Coturnix japonica: one gene and its partners. The protein of the gene in region 4 interacts with the protein of the main gene of each other region in a biochemical or structural test. Links are inferred from orthologs where the notes say so. Each region holds a gene or a part of one and is shown on either strand. Other genes may lie near its edges.

Region 1 (4,309 bases), on a different chromosome or scaffold from region 4:
TTACCTGCTTGTGCATTTCAATGTTTAATCCATATGACATTTCATAATACTGCAAATAAAGGAACACATTATTTTTTTTTATATTGGCTTGCATTGTATTATAAACTATTAACTGAAATAAAGAAAAAGAAGCAAACTTACCATCACATAGTGCCTCTGCATTTCTGTCTTCTCACTTGCCAGTTTCTCACATTCCAATTTAAGGCTACAAAATAGATCACACTTCAGTGTAACTACTATGTCATTTGTTTTGACATCTACCCACTTTATTTGTATTTTGACAAAAACAAGTAATTATAAAACCTCATAACTCACACGCAAACAGAGAGAAAAAGGTCTAATTCATACTTCAAACACAAGAGTTGAGAAGGAAATTCAGAAGGTATTTTGTGGTGCTGACTGAGAGCTGCAGCTGCCACCAGAGCCACACAAACAGGGCAAAGGACATTGGCTGTTGGGCTGCAACAGGATCAGACATCCCCCAGAGTTCCTCTGAGCAGCCAGAAGTATTTCTTCACATGTGACATTCCGAGTCACAGCCAAACAGCATCATTTGTGGTTAGAATTACATCTTGGGCCTACCTACTAACCTCAAGGCGCCTCCAGCTTGGGTTATCTTGCCTGCAGCTGGACAGCGGTAACTCTGACCGCCATTTGCTAGCAAGTCTGTTTTCAGAAAAGTTGTCTGTCTCATCACAAGCAGCAGCATCACTTTAACGACTCTGACTGAGCAAAGAAAAGCAGCAACATTCCCTTTGTTTTCTTTAGGGCCACCAGAAAGCATCCGATGGAACAGATGCTGTGGAAAGCAGCCTTTTTCACTTACAGCTGCAATACTGAATGATCACAGCTTATACTGCATTTCTAAGTAACCAATGGCTCGGGCAAGTCAGCAATCTCAAGTGAGAATCAGACAGTGGTGTGGTGAGAAAAAGGAGCCTCAGCCACAGTCGGATGAATTTCTGTACAGAAATTAACAGAGCTTTTATTCCTATCCTGACAGCTCAGGTGCAAGGGAGTACAGAATCGAGAGACAAGTGCCTCTTATTGCCGAACATCCTCTGCACGCAGGAATCCGTTCCGTACGGGACTCCCAGCACCAAAGCACCACGCAGCGCAGCGCAACGGAGCGCCCTTCACGGCTTCAGCAGATGGACGCTAACATTACGCTACAAAGCTGCCATCCTCTCGACTCTTTTAGCACTGCGCACCGGCGTCGGATTCACCTTAGCACGAACACCTCACGTAACGGAGGAGGGCTCTTCCTCAGCCTTCCGTGCCACGACATTCTCCTCCCGCAACACCCACACCCCACACCCCGGCCCGGCCGCCTCCAGCCGCGCTCCCGCCCGAGGGCCCCACACTGCCCTGGCCCCGCACGCCACCGCCTGGACGCGGCCTCTCGCTGCAGCCCCAGGCGGGAAGAGCGGATCCGAGCGCCCCCGGTGCGACCCCACCGCCGCTCACCTGTGGTACTGCGCCTGCAGGAACTGGAACTCCTCCTTGATGCGATCCAGCGACTCCGGGATGGTGAATTTGAAGGGCTGCCCCGCAGCCTGGTGAGGCGCCTGCGACGAACGGACCGGGAAAGAGAAGCACGGTCAGACCGCGCGGACGGGGCGGGACGCAGCGAGGGTCCATCCCGCCGCCCTCCCCGTCCCTGCCGCGACCCCGGCCCCAGCGCTTTTCCTCCCGTCGCGGGGCGGCCACGCTCTTCCCCGCCGCTCCCCGCGCATCGAGGCGGAAAGTGACCGCCGCACGCAGGGCTGGTTCTGCCCGTCGCCGTACTCACGGGGTGCCGGCTCTGCGGGAACATGGCTCCGAACGTGCCTCACACCGCCCCGCGGCGCTCAGTGCTTCCGCCGCGGGGACATCCTCCGGCTGTGGCCGCTCTGTCGCTGCAACTCCGTGACACGGGACAGGCGACGCAAGTCGTGAGGGCGAGCGGCTCTCTAGGGGGCTCCGGGCGCGGCCGTCACAGCGAGGGGGGCGGGCGGGAAGCCTCCGGGGGCGGCCTCGCTGCTCCCGACCGCCGGCGGCGCATGGGGCAGCCGGAGCGGAGCTCCGCGGGGGGCGGGCGCGAGGCGGCCCCGCGGCGACGGAGACACCACAACAAAGGGCGGAGAGCGCCCGTTCCGCGCGGGGTCAGGCGGGCGACAGCCTCCGGCACCGAGCGGCTCCGCGCCTCAGCAGCACGCGGTGCATCGCGATCTCCTCCCCATTCTCGTCCTTCTCCTCGCCGTCACTCTCCACTGCCTGGCGCTGCCCCACCGAGGTGAAGTTCCGACCTGTCGAGGAGCGCGGCCGTGCCGTGCCCTGCTCCGCGCGGGGGAACGGAGCGCTGCAGACCCGCGGGATGCGCTCGGCGGGACGGGAACAGCCGGGCCGGGCGGGACGCGCCGTGCTCGCCGCACCGTATGCATTAACACGCGGTTTCACACTCCTCCAGCTAACCAGCCACCCAACCCCTCCCACAGCCCTCAGCGAGGGGGGAGAGATGGCGGTAGTAGCCAGTCGCCTGCCTCCGCAACAACGTGGGTGCGTGACGCGTCCGGCGCCGAGGGCCAATGGAACGAGCGCGGCTCCGTCTGCCTGTCAGCCTTTCGCTGGAAAGCGTTTCTGGCGGAGCGGCGGGAGCCCTTCTTGCCAGCCAATGGGAGGGCGTGGAGTGCAGGGAGGAGAGTAAGGTCTGTGGGAAGGGGAGCGGGGAGGCTGAGCTGTCATTCAAAGTAACGTGGTGCTACCGGCCGGTCGGGCGGGGAGGTGGGGTTGCTTCTCGCCCAGCACGCGGCGCCTGCGCGCATGGGGTCGGTGGTGCCGGGGGGCAGGAAGGCAGGGCGTAGCGGGCCTGCTGTCCGCCAGGGGCAGGGGGCGGTGCGGAGGTCTGGAGTAGGGGTTTGGTGAGGCGTCGCGCGGCTGGAGGGTGTCTCCCAGCGCTATACGGGGTGGCTGGGGTACGCGCTGTGGCGTTGCCCCTCATTGGTACTTAGGGCTGTGTAAGGAACACGAAGTTTGGAGTTAGGAAACCTGACTTGAGGCGGTACCGGGGTAGGAACTCGTGCAGTGCTGCGCTGTGCACAGTTCTGTATCAGAATGGCCAAAGGAAAAGGACGTGGAACTGCTCAGAGCCCTCAGACTGAATACCCGCACACCCACTGAAGCTGCTGGGCTCTGGGAGCAGGGCTCTGCATCACCTGCCCGTGTTCTGCTGGCCTCGTGGGCCTGTGGACACCAGTGTGTGTGCATGGGTGTGTTTAGATTATGTGCATAAGCACGCACATTTGTGAATACATAAATACGTACAGGTACACGAGGACTGTTCTTCACTGTTTTTCAGAAAAGAATGAAAATGCCTTTACTGTGAGGTGGTATTTCCGAAGGTGGGAATATAAACCTGTTTGGTGCTCCGCGTGCATAATTGGAGCTCCTCCTCCTGAGTTCTTTTCTCAGCTCTTCCCCTGTTGCCTTGGACAAGCCAGTTCACCACTCTGCTCATGGCATTGGAAAGCTTAATTAATTAATACTTATGAAGTACTCAGATCCTAAGATGAAAGCTACCATAAATATGCAGGCCATTATTATATACTTTGCGTATCTAGCAGCTTTGGAGTCTGTAATAACATAGCACTTGCCTAACTTTGGTTGTACTGTGCTTCACTTGCTGGCACAAGTTGTTAATGAGATATTAACAGATATGATATTAAAACAACACTGTGCTTTGGAACATAAACAAAAGGGTTTTTGTTTTGTTTTGCTTTATAATTGCCCACCTCCATGGAAGTTGAAATGTCTTGTAGTCTTTATTTGTCATCATTAAAATGTCCAAGGCATGTTATAACAGAGAAGAAAAGCTCAATTTTCCTGATTTCTTTTAACAAGTGCGTTTTACCACCTTCGATCCTAGAATCAGTCATTTAGGAGCATTTTGAATCTTCTCCATCATAAACAAGACAAAAAAGCTGCAAGAGTTTGGTACCAATGGTACTATTTCCTTTTCTTCCAAGTGTGGGCAACTGTCAACAATAATCAACACTATCTGATAATTAACTAATTTGTACTTTGGCATCATTAGCTGATGGAAGCACAAAAAATAATAATTTTTGTTAGATAAGTGTAAATCTGGAATATTTCCAGAAAACCTAACATCCTTACTCATGGGAGTACACAATGCCAGAGAAAGATAGGCCAAAATTAGACCAAGCATGTTCTAAAGAGCTGTGTTTGATTCAAGGCAGTATTTTGCCATGGTACTGTAATTACCCTATGCAGTTTTCAAACAGAATTACACAATTGTTCTTAAATTTTGTTG
Region 2 (3,565 bases), on a different chromosome or scaffold from region 4:
ATAAGCTTTTTCAGGTTGTTGATGCTAATATGTAAGGATTCAGCAGATTTATGATTTAAGAATGTTTTTTGTTGTTTTACATTCAACTTCTTAAGAACATTACTGGGCAAGTTTAGTGTTTATTATCACTTCAAATAAATATTCTCATCATAAAGTCTTCAGTGCTCCAAGTCCTGTGTCATCCAGTACCTGCATGCATGATGCTCGTGAGTGGGTATTCAGAGCCGGGCACTCACTCTCGACCCTGCTTTGCTCTTCAAATTTATAAAATCCCTGCAGAAATAAAAAGGAAAAAAAGAAGAAAAAAAAAAAAAAAGAAAAAAGAAAAAAGAAAAAAGCAAAGCATGGATCTGAGTTCATGGCACAGCCTCAGTCCCAAAAAGAGCACCATATTTCAATGTTGTCATGCACACATGGGCCTGATGACACAGTAAAGCAAAGCTGTAAATAACTTGAGGAAAAAATATATACGTATTTGGGTGCAACTGAGATGGAACTTGGATTTTCACCTCTTTTGAAGCTATGGAGCACAAGTACATTCTCTTGTATGCGTGAAAGCAATTTTGCAATCACTGTTTTTCTAAGCCGGATAATGCTTTCCTTTAGCGCAGAGTGCATCTGTATTAAAACTCTGGCATAAAGGCCAGAGGACAAGGGCAGCTCTACAGTTCTCTATGATTTGTCAAGATGCAAAGTTATTAACATGATTCGTGTAACTGCCGTTATCTTTCACGTAATCTTCCTTCCACACCTGAATGCATAAAACATGCATCTAAGTTTTCGCCAGCAAAGATTAAGATGGAAAATGACTTCTGTACATAGGCTAGAGAAGTCTCATATAAGCAGCATTGAGCACCAAAACAGCAAATTAGTAACATCTGATCTGACATGTTAGCTGAGATCATCTGGTATTCCAGCCACACAAGAGACTTGTTCAGGTTTTACTGCAAGAATTTCTAAAATCTTTTAAAATATTTCACACAGAGAAAAAAATATCTGATTTTTTCAGTTACTATTTGTTATGCTCTTTGTTCCCTTTATACTGAATGAGCCATAAATAACATTATTCCAGAAAGCTGCAGCTTACAAAACTGCTTTGTACTCTTCCAAAGGTCAATTATTCACTGTGTGCATTGAGCAAGTGAGAAGAAAAAGATTGAAGTTTTAATAAGCATAAACTGGGTAAAATAGTTCACAGAGGAGGAAGTTACAGACAGTTTTTGTGCCCAATTGTTGTATACAAATATATTCGTTAGGGAGACAGGGAAGTAGTAATTGCATTTTCAAGGGACACGGTTCAGAAAATACGCCAAACATAACTTAACGATGAGCAAACACAGTTTGAAACAGAAAGAAGGCAGAATGAGATTTCATTTCAATGAAGAATATACACAATGAGAGCATATTACCTCTTTCTCACAGTTGGAGTTGAGGGTGAGCATAGCCATTGGACTGTTGGGTGCACTGCTTCCAGTTCCAGGGGGCATGACATGATCACCGGGCTGGTTTGGACATGGCAAGCTCAGGGCTTGGTTGGCATGTTTATTTGCTAGAGTGGTAGAGAGGTACTGCTTTACCTGCTGCCGCTGGGCTTGCTGAATATGGTACTTGGTTGGATTCTCAAGGTGAGTCTGCACCTGTATGACAGGAGTTAAGAGAGCTTTATTGTTTTACAGCGTAATTGCATATAGAACCAAGCTGGGCTATATGTTTGTGACACACACCAGCCCAGGAGCATTTGACTCAAAGTACAAACCTGCGCTGTGCCGAGGAACTCAGCACTTTGCTAATTCACATTCAGTGGCAAAGAATGAGTTTATGAGATAATGTTTCAATAACTTTCTTAACGGTAAACCAACAAGTTCTCATTACTCTTCTACGTAACAAGATTTATCACTTAAAATCCATGCTTGGCCTCTCCAGTTTACGCAGATAGTCCAGAATGGCACTCCCCTGTTTAGACCTTCAGATATGTGATGCTTTATTTTTACACAAATATGGAAAAATAAGTAGCAGAGCAGAACTCGCTTTACTCATTGATAGCCACCAACTAAAACCAAATTTGATCAGTTCCCGTCTCTTACCAGACTGGTACTAAAGAAGAAATTACATTCTTTAGTTTACGTTACATTTTTTTAAATATCAAATGAATTATTTAGAAAAAAGAAGAATATGCCACCTTTTTGCCTCCAGATTAGTCATATCTCAGATACGTGGCCTAATCAAATCAAATAAGACATTCTGTTTAACAGCACATTAAACAAATACAGTGCAAGACAAGAAGTGTCACAGGCTGAATAAAGCGCAATATTTCATATATATTTGAAAACATATCCATCACACTGAACTACTCTCGTTCACCTTAAGTAAGCAAGAGAAGAAAGATCTTTTATTTTTCATGCAAAAATTTCACTGTATCTTGGAAACACTATCATGTATCTTGCATCATTAATGTCTGTATTGAAAGGTTGAGAAACTGAGATATAATAGTTCTCTGAAATGTTTTTTGTTTTGAAAAGTTCTATTAAAGCAACTTCTCTCGCCGTTACATCTGACCATGTACGTCCCCATTCATTTTTGTGGAAGAAATTATAATAAAGCATACTAGACATCAGAGGAAAGGGATTTCCTGTATATTTAAGCCTTCCTAGCAGCAGGTTTTAAAGTAAGTCTGCAAATAACAACTCACCTGATAATGATTATACTCAAGCATTTCCAGCATAATACTCATACAGTTGTGAGAGAAGTGACTGCAGTATCCTTTCCTTTATGCTACTCCAGTCAGAGACTCATGCATGGAAGCACCATGGAAAAAGCTGCCCCAAACCAGAAGCACTTGAATGCCACTGCCCAGACTTATAGTAACCTACGGTAATTAGCTACGCATGTAGAGAAACAAACAGTTCACAAGGGCTCTTCTTGGAGCCGTGCAAGTTTAGCCCTAAGTATTGGTATTTTTTCCCCTGGCTTTGACGTCATGCTTTTTCATAAACATAAAAGGACCTTTTAAGTGATGGGCTATCAAAGTCAGATTGACAGTTCGCTCAAGGCTAACTCGCAATTCATCTTTCGTTCCAGTCATACTAATAGACAATGGTATTTTTCTTTAGCGCTAAGGTTAAAAGTTTTTAAGTACAGAGTAGGAAACGACCGAATAAACCCCACAAGCCAACCACACACCCACCAGCCATGGGGTACACTGGGCAAAGCTACAGGGCTGCACTGCCCTGTTCTCAGCCTAGAGCCACGGCTGCCCATCACCCAGCTCCACAGAGGACCTGCAGCTCAGGAGGAGGATTTCAAGGTGCTGGGCCACTTCTTCAGCCTCCCTCAACCTCCACATTAACTCCAGCTTACCATACAGCTGGAAGAGGTTTCCCAGTTTAGGAACAGCTGACAACAGGCTAAGGCACAACCTGGATATACCTTCATCCACACTGCCCTGTTACTGCCCACAGTCATATAACATCCGAAGTTGGAAGGGACCCATAAGGACCACTGAAGGTCACCGAGTCCAGTGCCAGCACCTTCCAGCCCTTTCTTATCCTTTATACCCGACAGAAAC
Region 3 (3,565 bases), on a different chromosome or scaffold from region 4:
TGTTTTGTTGCGAAAGCATTTCATATTCAGTTTTCCTGTAAAGTCAATTTAAACGGGGGGGAAAAATGTCGCACAGATTCTTTAAAAATTATCAATGAAACGAAGGTGTTCCATGTTGGGACATTGTTCCTTCTGTGCCCACATAGACATCTGTGTTCTCCTTCTGACTCATGGGTCAGAATTGCTGCTGTGCTGGCAGCCAGGGCTCAGGCACTCTGAGGCGGTGCATGTGCTCACAGGGACTTCTTAGGCCTGTGGAATTATGCAGGTGTGCTGTATAGCAATGCTGAATACCAAGACAGATTTCTATACACTGATTTGCTGTGCGATCCAATTGTGGAAAAGTCAGTCTGCTTTCTTAACCCTTCTGGTTAAGGAAACTTTTAAAAATCCCCCGAACTGGGGTGCGACAAGGCTGAATCTGCAACGTTTTGGAGGCATCCCATGAACAAATGAGATCTAGCTTGGGATATTCTGAACCCAGGGTTTACTTCGAGTGCTTGTTTTTGTGTGTGTGCTTTCAGACTGAGTCCTGCAAAGCCAACTAAAAATATACTGAGATTTCAAATAAAATGGTGGGAAGTTTAAATGGATACGGAACAAAGTAACAACTTCTACCTATTCCCTCTTCCCTTGGCTTGTGCAGTTATGGATTATCCGATTCATTTAAATGCTGGCTTGGAATGACATGCTCCGTTACCACCAGGCTGCCTATTTGAAGCGCATTAAGTGTTTTGGTTATTTTAATTTTTTTATTTACCTTCTCAATTTAGATTTGTGATTTTGGATTGGCCAGGGTGGAAGAATTAGATGAATCTCGTCACATGACTCAGGAAGTTGTCACTCAGTATTATCGAGCTCCAGAAATCCTGATGGGCAGCCGCCACTACAGCAATGCTATTGACATCTGGTCTGTAGGCTGCATCTTTGCAGAACTGCTCGGGCGAAGAATATTGTTTCAGGCACAGAGTCCCATTCAGCAGGTATCATTAAACTTCCCTCTAAAACAGTTTGATGGAGTTAGTTATACCGATGCATTTTGAATCTTGAACTTCCTTTTGTTTTGCTTAGTTTACTCATGGGCAGGAAACCAAACTCTTTGTAACACTGAAGCGATGGTTTCCAGATGTTGTTAAAAGTAGTAATAATTGTCATTAGCTTTTGAAATTTGTGATTTTTTTTTTTATTCCCTTTAATCTGCTGCAGTACCAACGTTTACTGTGGCATTTTAAAGTGATGTAAATGGGATCAATATTTTTCTGACTATGAATAAGAGAAAGTAACGTTCCCATCAGTGTATAACAGTATTGTATTTGAGTTGTGGGGCTGATGGACCTGGTGGTGCCTCACAGAGCAGTGCTTCTGCCTGGGAGTGGAGCTGAGATGGAGAGAAGCCACCAAGTGTAGCAACACGTTTGGTGTACAGACAGTAATCACATTTCTCACTTTGATGCCAGCAGTCAATGAGTGATTTTCATGCCTGTGTAATGATGGTAATGGCTTTAATGGGTTTAGTCTCAGAGGGGGGCTGGGCAATTGCTTGTTAGCATGAGTGGATGGTGGTCATGAGGGAACCCTTGGAACCAAGGAGCTGAGCTCTCTACTGGCAGGATTTATTGGTTGTTTGCTTTTTAACTTTGACTCCTACAGGATGTTTTTGTTTTCATTCACAATAGGAACATATACATTCGCTTCTGCAAAAATACAGTGAAAGCACTGGTTCACGTGTTAGTTTAGCTCCAGAATCTGCTATCATAGTGAAACATATTAATATATACCTGAAATCCCAATTGTGTATGTTCTGTACCTGCAGCTGGATCTGATCACAGACCTGCTGGGAACGCCCTCACTGGAGGCAATGAGGACAGCGTGCGAAGGCGCCAAGGCACACATACTCAGGGGTCCTCACAAACAGGTACAGGCTGCACTTGGCCTTCGTGGCATAGCATTTCCTCTGTGTAGATACTACTGCTGTCTCATTCCTGTGTTTCACATCTCAGTTGAATTCTCAGGCTGGAGCACGGACATTCATAAATACTTTGTTTGATATCTAATTTCAAAGTTGTCTCTGCTTGTGAACTGAGTTACTAAGTTCACTGACGGTGGTTCTGGTTAATAGTGCAGTTATTCAATCTCCTGTGCAAATGAGATGTTTTCTCTGTTGTCAAGTGCATCTCTGATGAATCCCATTTATATTGTTTGAATTGCCGATACAGGTGAACATCGCTCCTGTTTTTGAGGAGATGATGTTTTGATAGCTATTCTGAATGAAGTTGTTAATTTAAGCGATAATGTTGGGAAGAGACAAATTAAATTGGCAATACAGTTCAGAAAGCCCCAGAGGGACAACTTTACAGACAGGATAGAGAGTGTTAGAAGAGGAAACTGCCCATTATCAGGATCAGTAAGCAGAATGGTCAAGCAGATCCTCAGCAGAGGTCCCCTCAGACAGCCGTGCAATGACCTGAGCTGTTTGTGAAAGGTTTAAGATGACACAGAAAGCTGAGGTGCAATGTTCAACATAACTGGTGTAAAAGTTAATAAAAATCCAAACCAGGGAAAAGAGATGAGATGAGATGATACCATTATGCCACCTGGAAAACAAAATTAGCTAATGTAAAGTACGGATGCAAAGAAATGCCTAAGCAGGAATCCCTAACAGTGGTAAAGCATTATGCCCGCCCAGTGTAGCCAATTTTGTGATTGTTAGATAGTAAAAAATGAACAAGATGAGTAACCAGTACATGTTAATACATCAGGTCTTTCCAGTAGAGTTTGCATATTTATTTTCTCCATATAGAAGTAATTTCTCAAATGTCAACTCACCACAATGGTAGTTACCATAGAAATGAGCACTGAATATATCTTGTGCTGTATTATTAACGTGCGAGTTGTACCTCCTAGGCAGCCTTGATTCCCTACATTGTGGTACGCGCTCTTTCTTTTAATGTTAATAATAGGAGGATTTCCTTAAGACTTTCTCTCCCAGTTCTCAAACAAATGAAGTCTAATTGTGTTCATTAGCACACACTAAGAATTGCATATTTTAAGCTTCTTGTCTTGTGCTCCCAACATTTCAGTTGTTTCAATGCACTTTGTGTACAGCTGTGTAATGCAGTGTACAAATGCAGTGCACAACTGCATCCAGGTGCTTTATGGAATATGTTGTTTTTAAATTCTGATGGTTTGATAATTGCTTGGCATTCCTGCAGTGCAGTACTTGTGCCTTTGGTAGGGCAGGCAAGAACTCCAGTATTGATTTGTTCTGTTTGTTAAACCTAAATGCTTTATTAGGAATTAAAAAGGGAAGAGGAAATTTTTTTGTTTTATTTTATGTTTTGTAATCCCAGTGCTGAAGTTGTTCTCTACAAGCCACTGAAACCATTGTTTTATCTATTGAATTATGGGAATGCCAAAAAGCAAGCAGGTGAAATGCTATAAAGTATTTCTGATATGGCCAATACACCAATCTATCTATAGGAGCTAAACTGTAAGCTGCAGTCTGTGTCTACTGTTACCTCTGAGCAGCACTGCTTCATGGAGTGTCTATGGAGAAAATATAAAT
Region 4 (3,565 bases):
AAAATAAGTCAGCGGGCCTTTCTGGCCCAGGCCAGAGCACTCCCATTGTTATCATTGTTTTATTTTATTTCTCAAGCTCCGGCTCTGCAGACCCCAAATGCTGCTGATGGAGACGCAGCCCCTTTCTGTGTTAATTTTAAACCCGCTGACAAGCGGTTTGCTTTTCTCCTCACTTCTCACGGTTCCCTCACCCGTTGAAAACCACAGCCGCGGGCTTAGGGGATAAGGTGCCAAGAAGTAGAAAATAAAACCAAATCTGCTGGGTGCTGTGGAGCGAGGGGTGCCCGAATTGGCTTACTGCGAGGACAAACAGGAGACTGCTGAAAGCAAACAACCCTGATAGCATGGGCATGCGTGACGATTACAGCCAATATAATACAAAATGTTAATTACTAAAATTTGAGAAATTAATGCTGATTAGCAGCTGTGTGTGTGACCTAAATACATCTATTCCTTGATCGTTATTCATAATGCACAGTTTGTTGTTGATAAAGTAATTGCTGAATGGTGGGCTGGCCCATGAGTCTCACAGCTAAAGACTGAGGCCTGATCTGTAAATCAGCTGAAATTTGTTGGCGTCTGTTTTGGTTGCATGTACACAGACTGGGACGATGAACAGCAGCCCACGCTATCGCCTTTACAACCAAACTCTTACATATTATTGAGAATTCATATTGCTTTTATTATTTGGTTGCAAAAACAGACCTAATGCTTGTTGGCTTTAAAACACCTACCAGTGCCGCTTTCTCTCTCCATCTTGCAAAATATAAGACAAGGCCAAAGCTTAAATTAAAATCCTCAGGTTCTTATCTCTTTCCCACAGGAAAGCAAATCTGTGTTGAAAACCGTAAAATTAAGAGGAGAGCAAGGATAGCATAATTTAGCAAAAATTCATGGCACCAGATTCTGAGCTATATGACTGGAGGGATAGGTCAGACATTAAGAAGATACTGCCTGCTAATGCAAGTTCCTTAAGGTGGTGCTCTGGAAACAAGGAAAGCAGAAAATGCGGCGCTGCTTCCCATTTGCTCCTTCTTCGTCTGCTCCTACCAGCCTTAACAATAAATTGAGCTGTCCATTGAATAGCCCTCCTGGTTTTAGAAGTCCAGAGAAATCCTTGGTGTGGAGTTGGAGCATTGTCACTACGTCTATTCGTGCCAGGATTTGAATAGTGAGACTCAAAATTAATTTCATTGGGTTCCTAAATGATTTTCTTTTTTTTCTCTTCTGTTAATTCACAGTGCTTGACAGGCTGTCCTCACTGAGATTTATCAGCGGTTTTCTCTGAAGGCCTATTGCTTTTTTTTTTTTTTTCCTTTTTTCTTTTTCTTTCCCTTCTTTTTTTATTTTATTAAAAATCTGTTTGTGGCATAATTGTTTTAGCCAAGGGGAAGGGTGGCAGGATGGAAATGAGGAGTGCCTCTCAGTGCTGGGATCGTCGCTGCGGTTCATCCTGCTGTGGGAACAGCGACTTTTGTCTCATGCAGCACTACCGCAGAAGCACCGCGTTGGCATGGAGGAGCCCCACTGCCTTGCGGGCTTGATTCACGAGGGTGGTTTGTGGGAACATCGGCTGGCAATACCCGCCTTCGGGGCCCCACTGGGTGTTTTCAGCGCTTTGGTCCCTCCCTGGGTGAGGTGGCAAAGCTTTGCAGCTGTCCCCGGGGTGGTCAGCAGTCTCCTTCCCAGATATCCTCTCCAGAAACGTCACTGCCAACCTCTCTTAGCTTCGGTCGTACCAATATGTAGAAACTGTATTTTGGAAGCCACACATCGCTAATGCTGTTTTCCCTTCTCTTGCAGTCCAACAAGGTGCCAGTGGTACAGCCTTCTCACGCAGTTCACCCCCTCACCCCCCTTATCACCTACAGCGATGAGCACTTTTCCCCAGGCTCCCATCCATCTCACATCCCCTCCGACGTCAGCTCCAAGCAAGGTGAGCCCACGCTGCTGGGGGGCTTTGCTTTTCATGTTTCAGAGGGAGGGTTCCCACCATGCGTGCCCACTTTCCGCTCTGCCACGATGCTGGTATTTTGCTTGGCTGTTTAAATCTTTGTGCTCTTCCTAATGTGATAATTCTGGCTTGTTTTACTCGTCAGAGCCTTTTAAAATCTCAATAAGCAGCAACCAGTCCTCACCACCCCCTGTTGTGCCTGAGGCTTGCAGCATGCAGACACAGAAACAGCAGTCATCCCTCACTATCCCGAAAACTGGGAAAAAGCACTTTGGTTCAGCTCTTATCAAAACCTTTTCTTTTTTTAAATCAAAATTGCATTTTGTGATTTTGTGTTCTTCTTTATAATAATTGGCATAACTGTAGTCTAACCACCATCACCCAAAGAGAGGCTGTTTTAGTTCTGACTTTCCCTGGATGCCTTGTTTTAGTGTTGGCCTTGCTATGCTGATAATAACATGGGCTACCTCCAGAAAATACCATAGACATGTGGTTATTTTCCTTTACTCCAGCCTGCAGATGCATGTATAATTCTTTTTTCAGAGAAGATGAAGCAAATGGAAACCTCATGTCCTTATTTGTCTTCCTTCTTCGTGTGAGTGCCCAGGAGGAGGACACTGGTGGTCGTTCCTTGAAGCCTCGTGGGTGCTGTGTGTGTTAGACTATGGGATTTGCACCCTGCAGCTGCAGCTTGTGAGCACAGGAGGTTTTGACTTATTGAACGATGGGGCATAATTTTCCTCCTCATCTCCTGCAGACCCAACCAGGAGGCCTCATTTGTGCTTACTGACTGTCCTCCTTTTCTGCCTTGTTTTGCTCTCTCTCTGCCCAGCCCATCTCTCATGTAGAGCTCTAATATTTCCAAACAGGCTCTTGATTCCTCCTCTTAACGTCTGGCAAAGATGCCGACGGACAATGCAGGCCGGAGGCTTCTGCTTTTTCCTTTTTTTTTTTGCTGCGATGGTCTTCTTGATGTGTGTGGTCTTCCCATGCTCCCATCCCAGCACCACCAGTGTGTCACAGCAGCCGCAGTGAAGTGGTCCATGCTGTTGCTGCTGAGGGAATATTTTCCCTCAGGTCCTCTGCCAGATGCCTCCAACCATTGTTTCTGTCCTCGCCTCCCAGTGTGGGGCTGGAGCAAGACACTGCCTCACTGCCCCAGCCCCATTGCTGGGGGTCCCACAGCGTCTCGCCCCCAGCATCACCTCTCTCACCATGGGTACCTCTTGATGGACACATGGCTACCACCTTTCCATAGGCAGTTTATTCTTCCCTTTTGTCTTTCTTACTTTTAACACTCCTGAGAGCAAATGTGGCTTCAGATAGTGTTGGCTGCTTCACATTTTCCTCCTGGGCATCAGGTAGCTGGTGTTTCTCCATAAGAGGCCTGAAGTTTTGTCCCCCACACCAGAGAGCACAGCATCCTCACTGTGGGTCAGAAATGTGCATTTTGGGGAAGGAACAGCAGCCCAGCTCTTTACACACAGCTTGATTGGGTAGGGGCAAGGTCATGTCACTGCTCCTCAGGAGCATCAGCTGTCACCAAAGATGGGAGCTTCTTCTTTTTCTGACCACTTGGAAAGAGCATTTGCTGTTAAAAATCCTGGGATA

The links.
Region 1: the proteins of LEF1 (region 4) and TLE1 form a complex in vitro, tested with the Homo sapiens proteins (2 studies listed by BioGRID and IntAct, with this or other methods). The link is inferred for Coturnix japonica from reciprocal best matches to the Homo sapiens genes LEF1 and TLE1.
Region 2: the proteins of LEF1 (region 4) and MITF form a complex in vitro, tested with the Homo sapiens proteins (2 studies listed by BioGRID). The link is inferred for Coturnix japonica from reciprocal best matches to the Homo sapiens genes LEF1 and MITF.
Region 3: of the proteins of LEF1 (region 4) and NLK, one has a biochemical effect on the other in vitro, tested with the Homo sapiens proteins (4 studies listed by BioGRID). The link is inferred for Coturnix japonica from reciprocal best matches to the Homo sapiens genes LEF1 and NLK.

The regions. Positions count from the first base shown.
Region 1 is NC_029547.1:35,490,889-35,495,197, forward strand, and holds the start of TLE1 (transducin-like enhancer protein 1), read right to left. Parts: upstream 2,804-4,309; 5' UTR 1,817-2,803; coding exon 1,793-1,816; intron 1,569-1,792; coding exon 1,468-1,568; intron 206-1,467; coding exon 142-205; intron 50-141; coding exon 5-49; intron 1-4. UniProt on the Homo sapiens protein: Transcriptional corepressor that binds to a number of transcription factors. Inhibits NF-kappa-B-regulated gene expression. Inhibits the transcriptional activation mediated by FOXA2, and by CTNNB1 and TCF family members in Wnt signaling.
Region 2 is NC_029527.1:12,968,762-12,972,326, reverse strand, and holds part of MITF (microphthalmia-associated transcription factor), read right to left. Parts: intron 2,797-3,565; exon of another isoform or gene 2,732-2,796; coding exon of another isoform or gene 2,690-2,731; intron 1,638-2,689; coding exon 1,410-1,637; intron 274-1,409; coding exon 190-273; intron 1-189. UniProt on the Homo sapiens protein: Transcription factor that acts as a master regulator of melanocyte survival and differentiation as well as melanosome biogenesis.
Region 3 is NC_029534.1:8,031,318-8,034,882, forward strand, and holds part of NLK (serine/threonine-protein kinase NLK), read left to right. Parts: intron 1-773; coding exon 774-983; intron 984-1,813; coding exon 1,814-1,915; intron 1,916-3,565. UniProt on the Homo sapiens protein: Serine/threonine-protein kinase that regulates a number of transcription factors with key roles in cell fate determination. Positive effector of the non-canonical Wnt signaling pathway, acting downstream of WNT5A, MAP3K7/TAK1 and HIPK2.
Region 4 is NC_029519.1:33,552,769-33,556,333, forward strand, and holds part of LEF1 (lymphoid enhancer-binding factor 1), read left to right. Parts: intron 1-1,803; coding exon 1,804-1,936; intron 1,937-3,565. UniProt on the Homo sapiens protein: Transcription factor that binds DNA in a sequence-specific manner. Participates in the Wnt signaling pathway. Activates transcription of target genes in the presence of CTNNB1 and EP300.